Styela clava: one gene and its partner. The protein of the gene in region 2 interacts with the protein of the main gene of each other region in a pairwise test. Links are inferred from orthologs where the notes say so. Each region holds a gene or a part of one and is shown on either strand. Other genes may lie near its edges.

Region 1 (6,153 bases), on a different chromosome or scaffold from region 2:
CAAACCACTGCTTTATGTTGAGTTTGATCAATAAGAGTGAACAATTTCGTACTAGAACCAGATCGTCGGTGGGCAGACATCGTAATTCATCATTAGGCCTGCATAAACAAACATTGCGCCACGGCTGAACTTGCTATGTAGCAAGAAGCATTCGCACCCATTACATTGAATAATCTGAGTAACGATGTTTTTGTTATTGAGTAGCCCTATTCAAAGTTTAGAATTAGCTGTTTCAATAAAATATCAAAAATGCATATTTTAAACTGTTTAGCATTATTAGCGTGAACAAAGGCTGCGAAAAATTTTAATATATCAAAAGGGGCCGCGAGCTCAAAAGTTTGGGAAGCTCTGGGTTAGGACATTACAAAATTTACACACATGAATGCAAAAAGTAATTTGTCACCAATATTGGACAAGATTTCAAGTTTCAATTTTAAGGTTAGCAAACTACATAGTAACTCCCACACTTTCTCTCCTACTTGACCAGCCCAGCTTACAAATGTTAGAAAATTATGTGTATGCATTTATTCAAACAAACGCATGAAATGGAGACAATTAGGCACCGTCAGCAATTGTAACTTCCACTTCAACACCAGGTTCAATGCTGATGGAGGTGATTTGCTTTACAATCTCAGATGGACTGTGAAGATCAATCAACCTCTTGTGGATTCTCATTTGGTAATGATCCCATGTCTTCGAACCTTCTCCGCAAGGTGTTTTACGACAGGTGATACGAAGGACCTTGGTTGGCATTCTTACAGGTCCTTTTACACGAAGCTGCTTCTCTTTTGCACCTTTGATCAGATCAGCACAGACCTTTTCCAGGCTGGGAACATTCTTCGATGTTAATGTAATTCGAATCTTATGAATTGGAGGTTCTTCCCCTAGAATGTGTAAGAATGAAATATTAAACAAATGAATGATGCCAAAAGTACCCAACTGATCAAAATCCTCTCGATCAATAAAATTTTATTTGTCAATTTAGGTCTTCCAGAGTTTGAAATTATTGCTGATAAAAAATATACAAGAAAACAGATTATTAATTATTTTTGTATAATTTCAAAATCCCGATTAATGACAAATATTAGTGTAATGTAGTTTGTGAATATTCGGCTGTGAAATCAGAAATAGAATTCCGAAATACTGAACTTTTATGTTAGCTATTCTATTTACAACATTGCGTATCAAAAATAAGCAGACGATCAGTTAATAAGAAATTAGGGGAAAAAGTAGATTATGCAGATGTCAAAATGAAACAGATTAATCAAGTGAAGAAAAAAAACATTTTATTCAACAGTCTGACAGTTGAAGCTTTTTTATAAATCTGAAGTTTCTATGAACATTAAACTCGAAAAATGAGGCTTCATGTCGAACTATCCAAAGCAATCAATTTTGACTTTTTTGCAAGCTCTATTTTTCAGTGCAGTTCTCCATAGGCAAACAGATTTTTTGATACGTCAGGCAATCAGATTTTTTGATTCGTCAACCAAACACAATCGTAAACAAAAGAATAAATATAATGATAAAATGAACAACAATAATTTTGGTATTGACTTGAGGTAATGATACAACTATATGGACAGCTAACGGATATGCATAGGATGTACGATTATCAGATTACTGTATGTACAAGGCTTGAGTATTGACTATTTTTAGATATATACACAAAGCATAAATTTTATTACTGGTTGATGCACTATTTATTCAATGTTCAAGTCACTTATTGAATTGAATTCTCTGATAGACTACCGGTATGCATATACCAACTCTATACTGAATTAAGCTACCAGCATACCGGTACCGTACTGTGCCAATGAGTTTCACCAGTACCGGTACAGCAGGATGCATTAACGAGCACCGTACGCAACGGCCGAAACGCAGTAACATAAAACATAAGCTAGTTGAATTCACAAACCTGGGGGTGCTTTGCCAGTCTCCTTGTACGCACTCATGATGTTTTTTAGTGTCTACCGGCCGACGTAATCTCGAAATACGATAAAATACGAGAACAGCGGTGAGCCAGAAATAATCAGATCCACACTGTAGGACTGATGAACAGAAAGAGACGCGAGAACGCCAACGTGCGTGTGATTTCACATTTTGTCATGGGTGAGTTATCACAGTGACGTCACTTTAAATGTTGTGCAAAGTCTCCACAGTTTGCTGGTTAATCGCATTTTTACAATGTGCCCAGCGTGGATCTACCCTTTTAAAACAAATACGCGGCGGTATTACTATCATGGACTCATTGTGCTTTAAGTTTAGAAAAACGCTTGCCACCGCACATCTGATTACTCTGCGTGGGTTCGCAGGATCGAATCCCATGCGGGGATGGTTATGTGCGTGAGGATTGCTGGACTACTCGCCGCCGTAGGGTGGTCCACGTGACCGCTGGTCGGTTACGGCCTCCTCTGCCACTAAGTCTATGCTTCCGAACAACAAATAACTAACTAATGCCATACCTAGGCTTACCATACGTCCCGCTTTAGGTGGAACCAGTGATTTCCCTACACCCCCCCCCCCCCCTATAGGGGGTGAACACCCCCCTAATTTTGGGGTGCGATTCCACACTGAAGGGTTCTAAACCGCAGTCTGCGGGCCAATTACGGCCCGCGTGACGATTTGAAATGGCCCGCCGAACTTGAGTGAAATAGTTTAACCCTTCATGTGGTACCTTTTGAGTTTTAGATACCGTCTATTGTTACATCATTATCACAGTTTAAGCACGTTTATTTCGTAACAATTGAATTATTCCGGTATCTTATGTATAGGTATGGGTATTATGATTACACACTGCAGTATTTTAGATATCAGCCATATATTAAGAAGGCTTAAAGATGTCACAAAACGAAAACTAGGAACTGAAAACAGACGTTTTTTAGATGAATGACAGCGTTTTTATTTCTTTATTGAAAAGAATCAAACTTCAGCGATTTGTCTCCTTACAAAATATTTCAGTTCTGAAGGAATACAACATTATGATCAGTTGACGAGCGTATTTCAAAATTTAATTCATACAAAAGTCAAACAAACATGTTCAAAAAAATTAGAAATGTGTAACAAAACAAGCCATAAGTAGCCATTCATACAATGTCAGATGAGCAAGTAACTTCATTAGTCACTATCAGTTGCAAATTACTTGTTGAAACGTAGTAGTATATATTTGCGGTTGAAAGCCGTGCTTGTTATCTATTCCCCGAGAATTCTATCAGCTAAATATTATAATTGTTGATTTTATTACATAACAAACTGCGATGCTAGGTGTATCTAAAATCAAGCTTAGAGCCTATTTTGGTGCCTATTTCTCAAAATTTTCTCAGGGCGCTTAAGCACGCCCTGAACCCCAGCCGTGTCGTCCCGCACTTTTCCTCGCTCCCCTTTTCTGGCCCTACAATTTCATTCTGCTCTGGATTTTGGCTCGCCGTCAATCAACTTGGGGGCCCCCATGTACATCGTTTCTTAAATACATACCATAGCCTAGTTTTATCTCTAATAGCAAATTATTTACCACCCCCTAAATTTTGGACCCCCCCCCCCCCCCCCCTAAAGAGAAAAGCTGGGGAACATACTGGGTGGGACAGTCCCGCTTTATCGCGTGTTGTCCCGCCGTCCTGACAAGTCAGCCAAAAGTCCCGCGTTGGCGTTCCACCATCTATTATAATACACGAACACTATACAAAATAACATGTTTTCGTTACTGTTGTTGCTGTGCAGCCCAGCGCTAGCCCATTTGCTGGAGGTAAATCCGTTATTTTGTTTGTTTCGTTGTTTCCGTAACGTATAACATGTTAAATCAATAGTAATTGGTCCTGTTCTGACGTTCACGTGAATGTAACATTGAACAACGTCTTTTTGACGAAGGCGTTATCTACAGAAAAGCATGCTTAGGCGAATAAGTAAATTCTCAATGCTTGAAAACGGCAGGCTATCTTTCTTCCTTTTGCTGTACATAAAGAATCTAAATTCGAATTATTTGTATTAGTAAACGTCAATTCCTTTCTATTTTTCGAACTGAACCCGATATTTGGACAGAGAATATGCGCATGAACTCTCGATAGCAATATGTCAATGAAGACAGACGGGATGTCTTTGAATGGAGGCCTATGTAGTAAAATCGGAAAATGTAAAGTCACAAAAATATGGTAACCCTAGTCATACCCGACATGGAATGGTAACCGGACGAGAGGTCGTGGTTCGCCATATGGTTAAGTCGTCTCATCGGCTTTCCTATTCCCCGAGATAATATGTAAATCCTAGCCTATATAAAGATTCATTCCTTTGTCAGAATGAACCATTTTCCCGCCGTAAAAACGCGCCCATCTATAATGACTGGGACTCGTCTTGTAAATGGAAGCAGTGTGATTTGACTTCACCTGGTACACAAATTTGCTGGGACTCTGACTGGTGATGTGCCACTGTAGTTTAAGATTTTCTTTTTGCCAAGATCATTCGATAAAGATTTGGTGATAGCATCCCCACTTATATTATGGGGTACTTCACACACCCCTTTAAACAAGGCGTTGAATAAGGAGTTACTCATACATCTACTATGCAGTTTAGAAAGAATTTTGTCCGTTGTATATGGAGTTATCATGTCTTTTTAAAATTTACTTCAATGTATTGTTCGCTATTTGGGGTAAGTGGGCAAGTGCATGAGAACGTCTTAAATCTTTTTTCGCCCACTTTTCCGTATATTTGTTTGTTTTTGCCTTGTACTTTGAGAAATATATGCAGAATATCACTGCTGAAATCCTTATCGTTAATAACAAGAAGGTACTATGTAGGCTTGCACGTAATTGACAAAAATCAATTCCGTAATTACGGCCAAATCGATTACGTAATGACCCCGTAATTGCGATATTTTTTCACACATTTAAACCTATCCTAACAACCAATTTAATCCACTTCTATTCCGAATGGGACATCGAAGTTTGGTTTTCATATTCCCGGCAGTACTACACGCCGGCGACAGATGTTAAAGACAAATATCAAGGAGTGAATTCAAAACAATTTTATTCTGATTTTTATCTTTTGTATTAGCTTTGATTCTGTTATCCACTCTATCACCAAATTTTATGCGATCAATTTTATCATTACCAACTCTGGTAATATATTTAAGAACCGATAGTTCACTTTTTCAAAATCGTATTAACGTATTAATACGGCTTTCGTATTAAATAAAAATTCCGGGTTGCTAATTTATTAAATCAACTACAAGCGTATTCTCTCGTTTGATTATACTTTAGCTTGCCTCGCGACGAAGACTTGTTATTTCACCGTTTTTTACAATATCCGACTTTACTACTTAGTTAGCATTTTATAATAATTATTGATGCCGACTTATTGACGATATTCCGAATTCCATGCTTCATTTTACATTAAATCATTTCGCGGCCCATAACATTATTTGCGATAAATTTAGATCAAATACTAATTATTTGCGCATTATTTAAAATAACGTACTTATATGACATGCCTTCTCCGAAAATACAAAATTATATCGCAAAACAATGCATTTTGTGACATTTATTTTGCACTCATGAAAATATTAATTTATTTTTCTAACTCAAGTCGACAATCCTATTTGCCAAGATTGACACAAGTTTGGTCGAGTGCCGGTGGTATTCGAGTTGACGATAAATCAAAATAAGTTGCCGCATTTGGTAAAGACAGGTAATCATATTTGGCCGACATATTGCGAGACATTATGAAAAACATATTGAGCAATGCCAAGTCCGGACAGATATATAACGATAAAATCGGTAACATAACATCAAGATTTTGTAATAGAAAATGGATCTCGCGGAGAATAAACACGGGAAATCCCGTCGTATTGTTGTTTCTCTGCCGTCTCAATCGCTTTACCGATGCCGAAAAGACTAAGTTGCGTTGGTTCATTACGCAATTTCTCTTCCGTCTTTATATTGCTGTTTGATAAGCGCGACATTAATTATCACGGCATTCACAAATAGACCATGTTTTACAAGTTGATCTCTTACATTCTTTAGTCATTTCACCCGAAGAAGTTGAAACCAGGTGTGTTGACGTCCATCGGTCTCAACACAATTAATTCTATTCCTTATCTACGGTTAATATGTACATTGGCCATCCTAGATAAGTTGATAATAGGTTAGTAAATGACGCGTTATGCCT
Region 2 (7,662 bases):
TTCCTTCCGCAATTTCAATAGCTGTGATTCCCAATGACCAGACATCTGCTACGCAGTCATAACTAAACAAAATATGTACAGCATTTAGTATATAAAGTATTTGTTCACTTATTTTAATAATGATCAATAAGATACCGAAACAATTATTTAAAATTTCTTTGATTAATCAAAAGCCGTGTTGTAGAAAATGCAGCAGAATTTAGGACAAGAAAAATAGACACTAATTCAATAATCTACTGTTCAGCTTCTACCAAGAAGTTAATATCTAGTTGAATGACAAGACTGTGCAATAAAGAATACTCACAACTAAAGCATTCATATTTAGTATTAGTTTCATACATGATGGGCCGAGATATTTAGCTCAAATTAATAAGGCGGGTACTATTGTAATATTATGTATTGAATTACAATTCCTTTCTCCTGTCTATTTCCTACTTCATATCCGTATGTTGCGGTTGCCACAAGAATGCTTGAACAAGATAGCTTCCAAATGATGAATGATATTAACTGCCTTAAGAATAATATATAATTCCCCAAAATAGTATTCAGTGTGTTTGATTGAGTTATATCTTGTTTTGTATGAAGAAATAAGACTACGATACAACAAAAGTTCACAAATATATTCACAATTAATTTATTTTTATTTATAATGGAATGACAATAATGTCATGCAATGCAAATAAACCATATATAGCATCACAAAGCAATGCAAGTATTGAACAGCTATGATTCACCATTTCAACAAAATGATCCGTTATTATCAACTTACCCTATTTCTTGAATAACCTCTGGTGCCATCCAGAATGGTGTTCCGATCACTGTGTTACGTTTTGCCATGGTATCAGTCAACTGACCTGCAACTCCAAAATCTGCGAGTTTGCTGTTTCCATCAGTGTTCAGTAATATGTTGCCTGCTTTGATATCTCTGAAATTATAGTGATATTTAAAATAAAAAAAATTTGAGGTTTGAAACTGTTCGAAAATATCTCCATTTGAAGACTATGAATTAAGAATAGGAAAGTTGCTATGGGACGGTCTGAAAAAAACATGGTCGTCAACGTTTTAGAGGTTATATAATTATAAGAATCATTAAAACAAGATTCTGTCACATTCCCAACATTTGATATTTGTGCAAAAATACATCCATGAATTGAGCCATTCGCCTAATAGCCTAATCTGATGCTGGACATAGTCTATATCTGAGATGGAAAAAATATTATCTCATTAAAAATGTCCTTATTAGTATTAGTACCATATCCCAGCATTTCAATACATAGCATACTTGAGTTTCTGACTTTCTAATTTGAGAATGACAATTTGTCCTATTGTAACGAAACAAAAAAATTTTCCACTATTATTTGTTAATAGTAGAACTAACAGATTTTATCTGAAGAACAAATTCTAACTAAATCCTAATTTTCCAAATTTTATTTTCATTTTGAAGATTAGATTATCAATAAATCACGTACATTCATGGCTTCGAAACCAAACGAGCTTGTTGAGTAGTAAATCAACCAGTACTGGCAGTTAAAGTTGGAGTGAGTCTATTAATTTGAAAGTTTCAATTTGTAAAAGTTTGAAGCTATGGTTTTGTAGTACCAGTAACCCAGGAGCAGTCGAACTAAGAAAAAGCTGGAGCCAAAGCCATTGTGATTTCAAACAAGTAAATAACGCAAATTTTTTTCAACTTACCTATGAATCTTTCTCATGAAGTGCAAATATTCAAGTCCTTTCAAAGTATCTCGCAATATAGTCCCTATTTGTTCTTCAATCAAAGTTTTGCGTCGGAGTCTGATGATGTCCGATACAGATCTAATGGAAGGAAGAATGCTACAGTCACACACTCGGAACTCGTAAGTAAAGAAAACTGAGATCTGAGCAAGGCTACAGGCAACCACAGAGGTACAAAAGGGCTGCTGAGAAGAAGACTGAGCTCCGAGTAAAGCTACTGGCCACCACTGAGGTACCAAGAGATTATGAGGAGGAGAATGAGTTCTGAGCAAAGTTACGGGCAAGCACTGGAGTGCCAAGAGCTGATGAGACTACAAAGAACTATAGTGGTAAATACCTTATGAGTACTTGAATAATTATATCAGGCCAATACAATGATAAGCTATCAAACAGTGAATACCACGTAACTGAAGCCTGAGCTGATACAAAAATATAATTAATCAACAAATTAAACTGAAATAAAATATTTGCATAACTTAAAATCATATTACATACCCAGCACCACAATATTCCATGACAATCCATAGATCTGTATTCTTGAAATAACTTCCAAAATATTTCACAACATAAGGAGAATCGCATTGTTGCATTATTGCTATTTCTTTTATAATTTCTTGAAGATCTGATTCAACAGGAACTTGCTTGATTGCAACAACCTGATTAAATAATAGATGAAAGAGTCAGATATACAAAGATTCTGTTTCACGACTGTTTTCATTTTTAAGTTGGGAGTTTTATTTAAAACTCTGTGTCCTACAGAATAAAAATCATATTTCTCAATTTGCTACCTTGGAGACCTGATTCGAAATTTTGAACAAATAGCATCAAAGATCGAATTTTTTTTACAACTTGTGATAGAGGAAGAAAATATGAAAATAACTTGCCCTAGGTATAACAGCATAACAAGTTAACAACATACAGATAATACATTATATGACATCCGAACTATAAATTGTGCAAATATATATGTATATATCAATGAAGCTTGAGTTTAAGACAATCTTTAAAGATCTAACCATTACATGGATTATTAACAAATATTTTAATTTTGATTGAATATTGAATCAAACATTGAGTTTTGGAATCAAATCATCTTACCTGTCCAGCTTCTTTATAAATAGCTTTAAAAACACATCCATACGATCCCTCTCCCAACTTTTCAAGAAGATCAAATACTTCATCTGGTTGTTTTGTCAAGCTTTCTTCACTCAATTTTTTCAGTGGTTTTTTATTATCCATTTTTTTATTTTTTTTATTAAAATTTCACGAAACTGAATTGAATAAAAACAATTCTGATTAACTCTGGTCCAATTCCAGAATTTACATTTTTTACAGTTAATTGTATAAAAGTCACATCTTTACATAGCTTTGTTTACAAGTTGTTTCTACTATCAAGCTACAACAAGGTGAATACAGAAGTACGATTGATCAGTAGAACACAGTTCTCCGATTCCAAGATGTCTTGACGTTTGGTTATAATATGAAACAATCACTCTATTTGTCACTGAAACGAGGGCGTCTGGAACAATGTCAGTCGTCACAGTAAAATTTTTTTCCATCTGTCAATCGGACCATTTTCTACCGAGAAATTCTATGGTAGCGTTTTTAGATTGCACTTATTTATAGTTTATTGCGCAGTGCTGGCTTGCCAATTTGGCGAATTTCAAGTTTTTAAAGTAAAATTGAACAATATATGATGGATACAGTACAGACAACAAGATGGCAAAAGGAGGTTTGAATTATAACTTTGATTTCCAGGTGCCCTAGGAGTTGTTTAAAAATAATAATATACAAATAGTTGAGGATTTATAAAATAATGGGCATATTTATCACAAAAGCAACCTATACCCAACCTGTACCAGTATACATATACAAATTGTGTCATTGAATACAAGTGGATTATGAAGTATTGCAATATTAATCTGTTAGTTCCATCTAAACATTATAATAATAAGCGGAATATTTTTTAACACATTTATAACTAGGTTTTCGCAATGCTACAAAATACAGAAATAATGGCCTCAGTAGCTTGTTTTAAAATGGAATGTACGAACAGCGAACAGCCTGAAAGCAGACAAAGACAAAAAATTGGTTGTTTAATTTTAAATCATGAAATTTTCAGCCAGAAAAAGCGACATATTTTTGAAGGGCTTTATCGGGCATCCTCCAGTCCTCATACAATTTTGATTAGCCTACTAGGGCAGTAGTTCTGTAGGTGGCATATAACGGTCAGACGGTAACAATTTAAGTTATGACTTTCAGTCGCCTGGGTGATTGTTTAAAAATAATAATCTGTAAACACTATAATATTTAGACTATATATTCATTTAGGAATATTTTTTCAATCAATTCAGCAATTTTATTTTGGTCGCTCTGGTATAAAACGAGACAAAAAAAACGGACAAACAAAATGCAGACGACCTGGAAGGCGGTATTATTTGTGCAGCGAAGCGGATGTGAAACAAAATCATAACTCTAACAGTCTTTGGTTATTTGGGTGGCATGTTTTAAACCGCTGATGGAGTTTCTGCAACTTTTCTGAGATTTCCGAATTTTTTTTATTATGTGTTAAAACAAGGAAACAATATTCATCACATTACATTAAATTTCACCATCCAATATAATTCCCATCATCATTCTGTCATTGTATATTCCATTAATTCAGCATCAGTATAATCCAATCCATTCAAATAATGTCGGCCTTCCACATAACTTACAAGGTATGGTACCGGTAACGGTACCGGTACTCATTGTCAATTCCATCAACCTATCCACATTCGATAGATGGCGTAAGTAAAGGAATAGGTGGAGAGAGAACTGGTCTCGAGATGTCGTAAAAGATACGAGTAAACCAGAAAATTGGATTCAACCTAAATATTGGATTTCATGCCAGCAACAATCTCGAAGACGCAGAATAGACGTTCGGTTCAGCATTCAGTTCACGCTACTTTCAGAGTATGGCAATACTGGACATTCGACAATATTTTGGCGAGCCTCCCTCGTTGTTTTGAGCACTATTAACCCCGATCGGAAAACTATTCTGTAAATTATCTTATCTCCATAGACATTGCTATCTCTTCAAATGTTGTTACTGTTGGTGCTGGTGAACTTCACTTCTTTGCCACGAGAGAACAATGCAAAATTACATTTGTCGAAATAATCTAGATATATCTAAATGAATGCTAAAATAATCTAGAAAATAATCTAACATCTAATTGGGCATTTATTACATCTAGATTATACGAAAATAATCTAAATCTAGTTTGAAATAATCTAAGTTGGCAACGCTGCAAAGAGCACCGATTTTCTTGTTTATTTCCGTACAATGACTATATAGCAAAATGTCAACGGTGACGTAACAATTGTAATTATTGCATCCCTGAGACACTTTGTTCTTTCATACACATATTCAAGTATGGTTGTACACATTGCCCTGCGGTTTTGCGTGTTATTTGTCAGTTGTTAGTTGTGTTTTCAAAAATTAGTTGAGAATGAAGTATTTTAGTTGTCGTTATGTGTTCTGATGAGCATTAGTTTAGTTGCCGTAATCAAGAATTAGTTCCAAAGAATGCGATAGCCTAGGCTAAAATGAGCTATTAGGCTATCGCATGTAAGCGGCAGGTGATTGTGCCGTGAAATTTTGATATAAACACTACGACTTCAAATGTGTTTCAAATGAAAGATATCGCTATAAGCTTTGCAAGGCAAGTTCAACGAAATTTTATAGTTTAGTTGATTTGTTTATTACATTTTGATGATTTTCAGAGCACAGCAGCATGGTCAAGCCAGGAATTTGAATATTTATTTCGAAAGAAAATTTTATAAGATTTTTAGAGGAAATTGATTGAATTTTTACACAAAATTATAATTTAATCAAGTTACTATTTTAATTTTGGCCTTTGGAATGATGGCATTGGACGCGGCGCATATATTTATATATAAATATATGTAGCGGTTTTCAAAGAGCGGTAAATTGTCGGCAGTTAGCGGGCGAGGATCGGGAGATTTACTATTTTAATAGAAAGAATTAATATGAAGTTTTCAATGTATGTACAGTGGATTCTATCAGATTTATTAATCTACGCTTAATGCTGATGTTCGTAAAATTATGAAAATTGCTGTAGGCCTATTCTCTTTTTCTTGCTTCACACAGTCAAAGTTGAAAAAAATCTTCGACAGTATTCTAGGATTTTATTTGCATTGCAAATCAAAAACCTTTATACTTTAATACTATAATAAAACCTGACGGAAACTTATAAAAAAAAAGCGTCTAATCAGTTTTCCCAGCCTTACCATAATTAACGGCAGCTCATAATTTCAAATTAGAAGAAACCATGGGAATATCGCTTACCGGTACAGACAGGTTGCCCTCGTCCAGCACTTTCGGTACCGATACCATTACTTATCCTACCTATGGTCGCCTTCGTTAGCTCAAATTCAATTACGCCTATCAGTTGAATGAGGTACCCTAACTGTCGCATCGCACCGTATCTTTTCAGTCTATCTTGTCTCACTGTGAACGCGATTCAAAGTGGTTGTCTACTTGCCTACAACCACTGATAGTCACAACGAGCTAAAGTGAACCCATTAGTGAGTACTGGTGCACTGCACGTCTAGTTGCATAGAGTCATATTGCGGATCTGCCTTGTTCGATTAGATTTCAAAGAAGAATGAACCCTGATCTAAACTAGAGCTTCGAACATACAATTTATTATTTCCACTTGGTAAGTTTTCATTCTTAGATTGTGCTATATACACTCAGTTTACAGGCATACATTTGCCAGCCAGTTTTTTTTTACAGCAGTCTCCTCAAGCCCATTCCTCGCTTGTTTTCGTGAAGCCGTCACTTTGCTTTTCAGCCCGTGTGCTGCCTGAATTTCTTAATTGATTGCTTGGTAACTGTAATGACAGTCACTATTAATGCTCTATGTTTCTCGGTATTTATTTTTTAATTGTGCTTGTGGTATTCAGATGTAATAAGGTTTTATAATTGGTTATTGGGATGCCCTTCAGCTGGGCAGAAGTCTTATTCACTAATAATTTTTCTCAGTATTGGATTTAATACCAAATTGCCGCGGATTCAATAATGGAAGAAGGAACAGGAAATCTCGTTGAGTGATTTATTGTTTTAAATCCGTCACGTTACATCAAACTGAAAAGATGGCATTTCCATTCAAACAGCAATAGTGACGCCGCACAAATGATCACAGCAAAGTGAATGTCTCATAATTAAACACATTACACAGATAATAAACATACAAATTTAGCATTGGGCTCTAAAGAATGTGGCTACCAGAAAGAATCTTGTATATTTGTAGTTTTGGTCAGATAACGTTTTGCATGTCGGGTAGCATGGCAAAGGTCAGTTGGTGTATATATATTTCCTAACTTTCGATAATACAGGTATAGGCAAAACTTTGTTTTAAATACGAGAGAAATTGATATTTATACCTAGCTAGAGTTATGAGAGTCTACCAGTAAGATATTTATCAGTTCATTCATGGCTTGAGAATAACTAGCCGGGTGATCGCTTCACGTGAGTGAACGTAAGGAAGACCATATGAACCGCCTAGATATTTGGATTTTCTGCCCAGCAAAACAGCTTAATCACACCGGCACAGGGTTGTCCATAACAAATCGAATATTCCAATATCAAAGTATTCGAATACTTTTTCAGCTAATTTAAAAATAATTCCGAATAGCAGCCAATTTTCCCCGTGAGCGATGTTTTTCGAAGGAGATCTTTGTTGCGACACCTTTGCAGGGTTCGTGGTGGGCATTGCTGCAATTCCTTGTCAAGGCTCTTTATTTACGCATTCATTCCTATTACGTCGAAAAATTGTAAATTAGGTAAATCCGTAATTGATAATCAAGCACACTCGAATTCAGCCGCCCGCAAAACGTTTTCTCCATTCGCCCGCGAGTCCCACT

Evidence for each region.
Region 1: the proteins of serine/threonine-protein kinase 4-like (region 2) and small ribosomal subunit protein uS10-like interact in a two-hybrid assay, tested with the Drosophila melanogaster proteins (2 studies listed by BioGRID). The link is inferred for Styela clava from reciprocal best matches to the Drosophila melanogaster genes hpo and RpS20.

What each region holds. Positions count from the first base shown.
Region 1 is NC_135257.1:17,376,160-17,382,312, reverse strand, and holds small ribosomal subunit protein uS10-like, read right to left. Parts: upstream 2,078-6,153; 5' UTR 1,953-2,077; coding exon 1,916-1,952; intron 885-1,915; coding exon 556-884; 3' UTR 511-555; downstream 1-510.
Region 2 is NC_135254.1:9,064,726-9,072,387, reverse strand, and holds the start of serine/threonine-protein kinase 4-like, read right to left. Parts: upstream 3,003-7,662; 5' UTR 2,971-3,002; coding exon 2,830-2,970; intron 2,388-2,829; coding exon 2,227-2,387; intron 1,813-2,226; coding exon 1,693-1,812; intron 926-1,692; coding exon 770-925; intron 63-769; coding exon 1-62. UniProt on the Drosophila melanogaster protein: Plays a key role in the Hippo/SWH (Sav/Wts/Hpo) signaling pathway, a signaling pathway that plays a pivotal role in organ size control and tumor suppression by restricting proliferation and promoting apoptosis.